Linked DNA regions of Daphnia pulex. The protein of the gene in region 2 interacts with the protein of the main gene of each other region in a pairwise test. Links are inferred from orthologs where the notes say so. Each region holds a gene or a part of one and is shown on either strand. Other genes may lie near its edges. The genes, in order: partitioning defective 6 homolog gamma-like and atypical protein kinase C-like.

Region 1 (4,040 bases), on a different chromosome or scaffold from region 2:
ATTTTGAAGACTACGCCTAAATTTCACGAGTTGATTTAAGAGAGTAACGGCCATGTCATTTGATATAGAACTTTCAGACAGAGGGTATAAAGCATCCAAGAGGTTGACAATTTTCGTATCTACTTCTCGTCTTAATGCGTCCGAAACATTGGAGACATCCTGTAACGAACGACGAAGATTCGATAATTTTGCTGTCAAATTTCTCGTTGACTAGAAATAATGAGTTTACCTGTTCTTTGGCAGTTTCAAACCAATCTTCTGTATCCAACACAATTCGTAGTTGGCTTTCGATAACTTCAACCGATTGTTCAAGATCAGTAGTCTATTTCAAAATATTCTGTAAAATAAATGACACGAACTGACGTGAAAGCTAATTCATACCTCATGATCCGAATTTTTGTTATAATTATCTTTATAATCATCTTCAAGATGGCTAACATCAATAGCGTCATCAAAATTGAAATCTTCGTCTTCAAACAAATCTTTGCTCATGTCTTCGACTTTATTTGATGTTTTCTTGCTGATATTATCCTTGGCTGATTTTAAATTGCTTGATGTTCTAGGTTTAACTACAGGCGAAGTGCTGAGTACACTATTATAAGCATGATCTTTTGTTTCATAAAAAAAAGTTTAGTTTTATGGTTTTTTAGTATTGGAGCAAATGAAATACTGGATTACCGCACGAATCATCCACATCATTATCTTCATCCTTATCATTAAAGTCTCCCCAGAATTTTCCATCAAGGTTTCCTATACTAAAATCTGCTTTTTTAGTTATTAAACTTTTCCCTTTATCTCGATTGGGCTCTTTTTTGAAAGGCACTTGAATTGCTTCCTTGGCTGAAGAGGATTTAGACTCTAAATGATAAAGTAGTAAATATAACATAAAAGATAGACAAGTGACAAAATACTTTGATACCAATGGGGGTGGAATCTTGATCAAAATCATCATGTGATTTAATGTCACAGACATCTGAATGTTTCTTGTTTGTTTTTGACAAACTTTGAGATGTAATTGTAGAGGTATTGTTGATGCTATTTAAGAGTTCATGATTACATTTTTATTCACAAATACAATTGAAATTAACTAACCTTGAATTGAGTTTGAGTTTGTTAGCACGAGGAAGAAGGTATTTTTCCATCTGGCTAGAAAATCTCTTAAATCCTGATACAAGTACAATGTAGCTAGTGAATTTTTCTCACTTCGCTGTCCACGTAGGATTCCACGTAGCTTTTCAAGATTTCATACGTTTAACACAATTTGAAGGGAGTTCACAAAAGTGTATGGAACTATCATTGTAAACTCTAAACTGGTTGAGGGTCAATTTTGGTTACGAATGTAATCGAGTAAAGAATAATTCCCACTTTTATGCAAAAGAAATTGTAATCGAATTATTGAAATATGTCTATTTGGTATCTTTAGTTCTAGTTGTCTAATGTCTACCAAGTTAGGTTAACCTTCATCACGCTGAAAAACTTGAACAAGAAGCTGTAGCAGACGATTTCCCGCTTACATACATTTAAATGTTGCCAACTTGTTGCAATATACTAGTAAACTAATAAAATATCAAAACCACTTAGCACTTATAGAATGAGAATTTCATCCATTCACTTTCCTATTTTAAAATACCTTTAAAATAAAAATATTTAACTTATAATTTATGAAAACAGTAAAATTCGAGATTTTTCCATTCTATCCTCTAGAGGGCTGCACCAATTCGTAACCGTCCTCAATAACTGTCATGTCTGTCAATTTTCATTGTATGGTGCCTACCAAGGAAACGTGAAAATTGCTCATTCATTTTATAACATTCAAATGAGTTAAATCGTTTTTCTCCATTCCATCAGTGACGATCCAGGTAATCGGAATTCTCAAGATCCCTTTCCATCTTGTAGTGGATATAGAATGTGAACAACCGATGATTTCACGCAATTGTCGGTGTTGGAGGTGTAACCGGATGCTTACTGGGGCGTGGATATTCATAAAGAACTATGAATCTATTGAAACGTTTTGTTTGTTTTCTACATAGGATACTTATTCACTGTTAAATTTGGCCCAAACGCAGATGTCAAAGCTAGTGAAACTTCAGATGTCTCCACCAAGAACAAACTCAAACTTTGTGGAAGTGAAAAGCAAAGTAAAGTTTCATTTTCTGTCATGACCAAAGATTATTCATATTAAAATTCTTTTAATTCTAGTTTGTGGCTGAATTTAGAAGATTCAGTCTAAACAAAAAAGTATTACCAAAGTATGAAGATTTCAGAAAGTTGCTTGAACAACTACATGGCTTACAAATTGAACCATTCTATATAAGTTATACAGGTTTGTAATTTCATCATATACTACTTATTCAAAGACTGATTTGTAATTTGTCTCATTCATCATACAGACCCCAATGATGGGGATTTATTGCCCATCAACAATGATGACAACTTTGCTAGAGCTTTGCAGGCAGCACGTCCTTTGTTGAGAATCCACATACAGAGAAGAGGAGAATCACAGGATGATGAATTACATCAACACTATGCTTCTAAAAAGAATTTAATATCATCAATATTAGGAACACCCAAAACTAGGCCACACATTAGCATATCGTATCCAAAGGAATTTCGACAAGTTGGTTTGATTATTCCATCTGTTTATTTTCATTAATTAAGTAGATTTGTAATTAGCTTAAACGCCTTGTTTTCTTGCTTGAACTTGCGTAATCTTAGTTGTTGGCGTTATGTCTCCAGTTGTTGTTTCCTAGTCTCCTTTCTTGTTGTTGCATCTTGCTTCATGCTTGGTTGGGCATTAAACTGAATTATTCACTGTTAAAACAGGTTTCAGCTATTATTGATGTAGATGTAGTGCCCGATTCCTGCCGTCGAGTTAGGCTGCTCAAACATGGATCTGAAAGACCTCTTGGATTTTATATTCGAGACGGTACCTCGGTACGTGTCACACCTAATGGCCTAGAAAAAGTCCCCGGAATTTTTATATCAAGGTATGATTATACTTTATATCTATATATATCTTTATTATGTTGTGATTGACAGACCGTGATTTTTGACAGATTGGTTCCTGGCGGATTGGCCGAATCTACTGGTCTCTTGGCGGTCAATGACGAAGTGCTGGAAGTGAACGGTATTGAAGTCGCCGGAAAATCACTAGATCAAGTAACCGACATGATGGTGGCTAATAGTGCAAACTTGATCATCACCGTCAAACCGGCCAATCAACGAGGTGTTTTGACGCTGTCAAGAACCTCACACAATGACACGATGACGTCGTATTCGACCATCGCGTCAATGGTTCACTCTCATTCTGACGAGGACCATGAAGAAGACGAAACCGACGACTTAGATGAGATAAAGGATCTTACTATGCAGACCAGTGCTAGCAGCGGCAGCGATAGGACCAGCCACGCGAAAGATGATGGCATCCTTCACTTATAACATTATGATTTAAGTTCACAAATATCCATATATGAAAATGAAAACGTTCCCTTTTGAGTCCTTATTTTTAAAAAATGAAAGTGTATAAAAAAAAACAATTTGTCTTCTTTTTGCCTGAATGTTCGCAAACCACATCGGTCAATGCGTGCGTTTATATCCCGTCCACCCCTCCCCCTAGGTTTATAGTTAAGAAAAAAAAAACATGTGTGCCTTTTCAACACTTACCGGCCTTTCAATGGTAATTAGTAAAATGACTAATCGATGAGTCTCGATCTACACGATTCATCGGCACAAATACAACGTTAAAAAAAACTTGTCTCCAGTTCAAATTGTATTATCAATATGCACCACCGTGCTTCAAGAAAGTGGAGAGAACAAACTAAAAACATTAAGAAATTATTCTTTACTCACTTCGAAAATATACTCGTATAAAATGACAGCTTGTTTCTTTATAAATGAAGTATTTTTGAAGCGCCCTTATTCACTGCCAAGAATCTGCAAACCATTTAAAAATTTAAAACGGAACTATTGCACAACAATGACATTATTACCTCCTTAGCTTTCGACCGGATGAACTCTTTCCTCGTTTTCTCCAGTTCATA
Region 2 (4,355 bases):
ATATTATGTATCAGTTAAGGATCGCTTTTTCCTTGTCTTTTCTGCAAAGCATTAGCCAGATCTTCGCTGAAAGCCTGCTTTTGCTTTTGATCGGCCAAAGGCTGAATGGAACGCAGCCCGTTGACAATATCCTTAGTCTTACCGAAGTAAATTTCATTCAAAGTGTGCCTAATTTTGTTCTCCATATCTTCGACAAGACGACCCATGTTTACGATGTGCGACGTAGGCTCGCTTACTGTTCCGTCTTGCTCCATCTAACACGAGAGAAAAAATCGGTTCAATTTAAGGGAAATATCTCATGGTCATAAAAGTAAACAATAATATTACCTGACGCGTTAAGCTTCCACCAAGGTTCATCGTTCCGGAACCGGGACGACTGGTCTGCAGCCATAGCATGACTGTCGACGTAAGCTTATAGTGAGCCGAACGGCCGGTAGACTTTTCTTGCACTTCAATGACATGAATCGAATCCCAGCACCCTTTAATATTTCGAGCGCCATCACCAGCTCGTTTTATAAGAATGACTCCAGCAAATCCATGATCCAGGTCCCATAGGTACACAGAGGAGACTCCACCCTCAAAATACATCTGACGGTATTGATCAAATGCAGCATTGGCCTCTACTTCCAATCTACGTAGCCTGTCCGTGGGCAGTGTTCCATCTTCAAGAGGTGGTTCATAGGTGTTGCTCCATGGAGAACTGACAGATCAACATTTGTTATTATTAGGGTCAAGTTTTCAACACAACTGTAAATACTGTTACCGATAAGAATCTCCATCACGGTTATAATCACAGAGAAGATAATCTTTTCCTTCTCTCTTATCACGTGCAATTTTAAGTGGTTGATCCACTGATGATAGAAGATCCTCACACAGTTCAGGAACTAGGTCAATCAGGTCACTCAGGTTTTTTTCAATTTGCTGAGGAGGGAGACGTCGCATTAAGTCCAACGCTCGGTTCAATTGCTCCTCCGTCTGCAGAAACAAATAACAAGAGAAATATTATTAGACAAGTCAAATGTCAAATAAAATTTTCACTCTGAAATTGGAGGTTTAATACTAGCCGAAAATATGAATAAATTCGATTTTTAACTTACCATTGTTCAAAATGGACAGAAACGACAAACTTTTGAGATAATAAAATGGAACTGAAAAGGATTTCCGGCCTTTTTTCCCAGGAAAAACCAAAAAATGGGCGAGGTGAAAAATGAGTGGCGGTGACAAACAGAAATGTATGTTCTGAATCCGAAGTTGCGCTAAGCAATGAAAATCTCTGCCTGCTGGGAAATAAAAAAACGGTTGCGGATTCGAATTAGAATTCGAGATAAATCCACATATTAAATGACGGAAGTGTTGTTGGTCATTAAATAATAGCTGAGAATATTTAAAAAACAATTACAAAAACGATTTTTCTTTAAAATCAATCAAGTTTTGATCAATCTCGGAGAACGCCTCCTGGCGGCTGCATAGAAGGTTAATCCTCGAAACGTCAGTTTTGCCAGTATTAACCGCCTGACTCATATTTTTAGGTTAAAACTAAAAGTGTTTTCTGTTAGAAGTTTAAAGAAGTTATAGTGGAATCGTGGTTCACAATCAGTGATAGCCTCAAATGGTTACAATAGTCCGGCTGCCGTGAGGACTTGTTTGTAATTTTGAGGAAACGGCCAATTTGTGCCCAACCCACCTGTTGTTTTAAATGACGATGCCCACCACCCTCGTGAGTGATGGGGAAAAGGCCGAAATCAAAGTCAAGGCAGCTTTCAGCGGGTATACTTCATGTTTTTTTTTTCAATCTTTGTATGTACTTACCTCATTAGTTATTTTGCAGGAAAATTCTCGTGACTTACATAAACTCTGAGATCCTGTTGGATGATCTCCAAAATGAGATGCGAGCCATTTGCCAGTTTTCTCCTGATCAAGAGTTTACCATGAAATGGATTGACGAAGAAGGTTGTACAACACATACAATCCACACAGTTTTCTTTTACTATGATTTACATCCCTTTAGGTGATCCATGTACTATCTCTTCACAAGTTGAAATTGATGAAGCTATTCGTCTGTATGAAGTGAACAACGATTCAGAAATCACTATTCATGGTATTTTTTAATTCTACTTGTGTATAAACTTGAAATTTAATTACTCTTTTTAAAATTCAGTTTTCCCTAGTGTCCCTGTGTCACCAGGGCTTCCATGTTTTGGAGAAGATAAAAGTATTTATCGACGTGGTGCTCGTAGATGGCGGAAACTGTACAGAGTCAATGGACATCTTTTCCAGGCAAAACGTTTCAATCGCGTAAGTTTATCCATGCAACACCATTGATTCCCAGTAATCCTTACTTTCCATTTTTATGACAGAGAGCTTCTTGCGCTTACTGTCACGACCGTATCTGGGGTCTAGGTCGGCAAGGATTCAAATGCATTCAGTGCAAGCTGCTCATCCACAAAAAGTGCCACAAGCTTATCAAGATCAGTTGCAACACGGAGCAAGTGGCCGCTCTGAACACTCCATCCCAGGTTCATCTACTGTCAAATAGCGCGCTCAATACCAGTTCAGGGTCCGCAGTGACCGCTGCTGCTATTCCATCTATAAGCCCTGTTGTTAATGCCGGAGAACCCCCGACAGCGCTGCGACAGAATGGTGATGGTACCGAAGCACCGTCCGCACCGCCAATAGTACAACCTATTTTTGAGTCTCACAGTGTGAGTGTTCCGGTTGATGGAAGTCCAGGTACTTTATATTTCCATACAAAACAATTCAGATTTTTAATTGTATACTTTAAAATATTAGAAGAAGGTGTCGAAGGTGGTGCTGTTCAACGTCCGTATTCGATGGCGGATTTTGAATTGATTCGTGTGATTGGTCGTGGTTCTTATGCTAAAGTGTTGATGGTTGAATTACGACGAACTCGTCGGGTTTACGCCATGAAAGTAATCAAAAAGGAACTTGTTACCGATGATGAGGTATAAGAAAATTGATTCTTTGATTTTATCAACAACTTCTTCTAATTGAACAACTCGACTTTCAGGATATTGACTGGGTTCAAACGGAAAAACATGTCTTTGAGACGGCATCCAACCATCCTTTCTTGGTTGGCTTGCATTCGTGTTTCCAGACGACGTCACGCCTTTTCTTTGTCATCGAATTCGTACGTGGTGGTGATTTAATGTTCCACATGCAGCGCCAAAGGCGACTTCCTGAGGAGCACGCTCGATTCTATTCGGCTGAAATTTCTTTGGCGCTCAATTTCCTACACGAGAAAGGAATTATTTACCGTGATCTGAAGCTAGATAACGTCCTACTGGACCATGAAGGTCATATCAAACTCACCGACTACGGAATGTGCAAAGAGGGCATCCGTCCGGGTGATACCACGTCTACCTTTTGTGGTACGCCCAACTATATCGCTCCTGAAATTCTGCGCGGAGAAGACTACAGTTTCAGGTAATGTTTACAAATTAAACCCAATAGAATCTGGAACGCTAACTCCCCTGTAGCGAAAATGTCTAACCTTTTTCTTCGTTTTTATCAGTGTGGATTGGTGGGCGCTGGGTGTATTGTTGTATGAAATGTTGGCCGGTCGTTCACCTTTCGACATCGTCGGCGCTTCAGAGAATCCTGACCAAAACACTGAAGATTATCTGTTTCACGGTAGAGCTTCATCTTGTCTTCTTTATTATAATATTTGCTTTGTGGAAACTCGCGAGTCCATTTGATAAAGTTCGCAAGAAAAACGGGGTCTTATCAAGATCGCGTGACCTTTTTCCACTTGAGAGGATTGTAAATGTGTTGTTTGTAAAACATTGTGTGTTTTTTCTTTTCTTTTCATATTGCAGTCATCCTGGAAAAGACGATTCGCATTCCCAGGTCGTTATCTGTGAAGGCTTCTTCTGTCCTCAAAGGGTTTCTTAATAAGAATCCAGCTGATCGTTTGGGTTGTCGAAAAGAAACGGGCTTTGTCGATATCGTCCATCATCCATTCTTTAAATCAGTCGACTGGGAAATGGTATGAACATCTCTCTCTTTTACACGTTTAATCCACATTCTAGGAACAGATTACTAATCTTTTTTCATACGTGCACAGTTGGAGAAGAAACAAGTGGCTCCACCTTACGTGCCTCGTCTAGATTCCGACCGTGATCTGGCTCACTTTCCACCCGAGTTCACAGACGAACCAGTCCAACTGACACCCGACGATCAGTAAGTGATGGATCGTCTGTCGATTAAGAATCGATTTTTATTTTTGTTTTATTTTTTGTTGCTTTGCAGGACGGTCATTGAACGCATCGATCAGTCTGAGTTTGAAGGTTTCGAGTACGTCAATCCTTTGCTCATGTCATTGGAAGACTGCGTCT

The links.
Region 1: the proteins of atypical protein kinase C-like (region 2) and partitioning defective 6 homolog gamma-like interact in a two-hybrid assay, tested with the Drosophila melanogaster proteins (2 studies listed by BioGRID). The link is inferred for Daphnia pulex from reciprocal best matches to the Drosophila melanogaster genes aPKC and par-6.

Annotation. Positions count from the first base shown.
Region 1 is NC_060019.1:10,154,314-10,158,353, reverse strand, and holds partitioning defective 6 homolog gamma-like, read left to right. Parts: upstream 1-1,586; 5' UTR 1,587-1,859; intron 1,860-2,030; 5' UTR 2,031-2,066; coding exon 2,067-2,138; intron 2,139-2,199; coding exon 2,200-2,323; intron 2,324-2,390; coding exon 2,391-2,617; intron 2,618-2,823; coding exon 2,824-2,987; intron 2,988-3,056; coding exon 3,057-3,438; 3' UTR 3,439-3,466; downstream 3,467-4,040. Other genes in the region: Bloom syndrome protein homolog, read right to left, coding at 1-159, 230-322, 382-608, 679-858, 920-1,035, 1,093-1,142; protein DEK-like, read right to left, coding at 3,916-3,933, 3,990-4,040.
Region 2 is NC_060022.1:4,026,535-4,030,889, forward strand, and holds the start of atypical protein kinase C-like, read left to right. Parts: upstream 1-1,448; 5' UTR 1,449-1,696; coding exon 1,697-1,767; intron 1,768-1,828; coding exon 1,829-1,950; intron 1,951-2,008; coding exon 2,009-2,098; intron 2,099-2,158; coding exon 2,159-2,295; intron 2,296-2,357; coding exon 2,358-2,730; intron 2,731-2,790; coding exon 2,791-2,963; intron 2,964-3,028; coding exon 3,029-3,444; intron 3,445-3,532; coding exon 3,533-3,651; intron 3,652-3,836; coding exon 3,837-4,006; intron 4,007-4,084; coding exon 4,085-4,200; intron 4,201-4,269; coding exon 4,270-4,355. Other genes in the region: F-actin-capping protein subunit beta-like, read right to left, coding at 15-254, 328-700, 764-975, 1,098-1,100. UniProt on the Drosophila melanogaster protein: Serine/threonine protein kinase which is required for apico-basal cell polarity in the germ line as well as in epithelial and neural precursor cells, for epithelial planar cell polarity and for cell proliferation.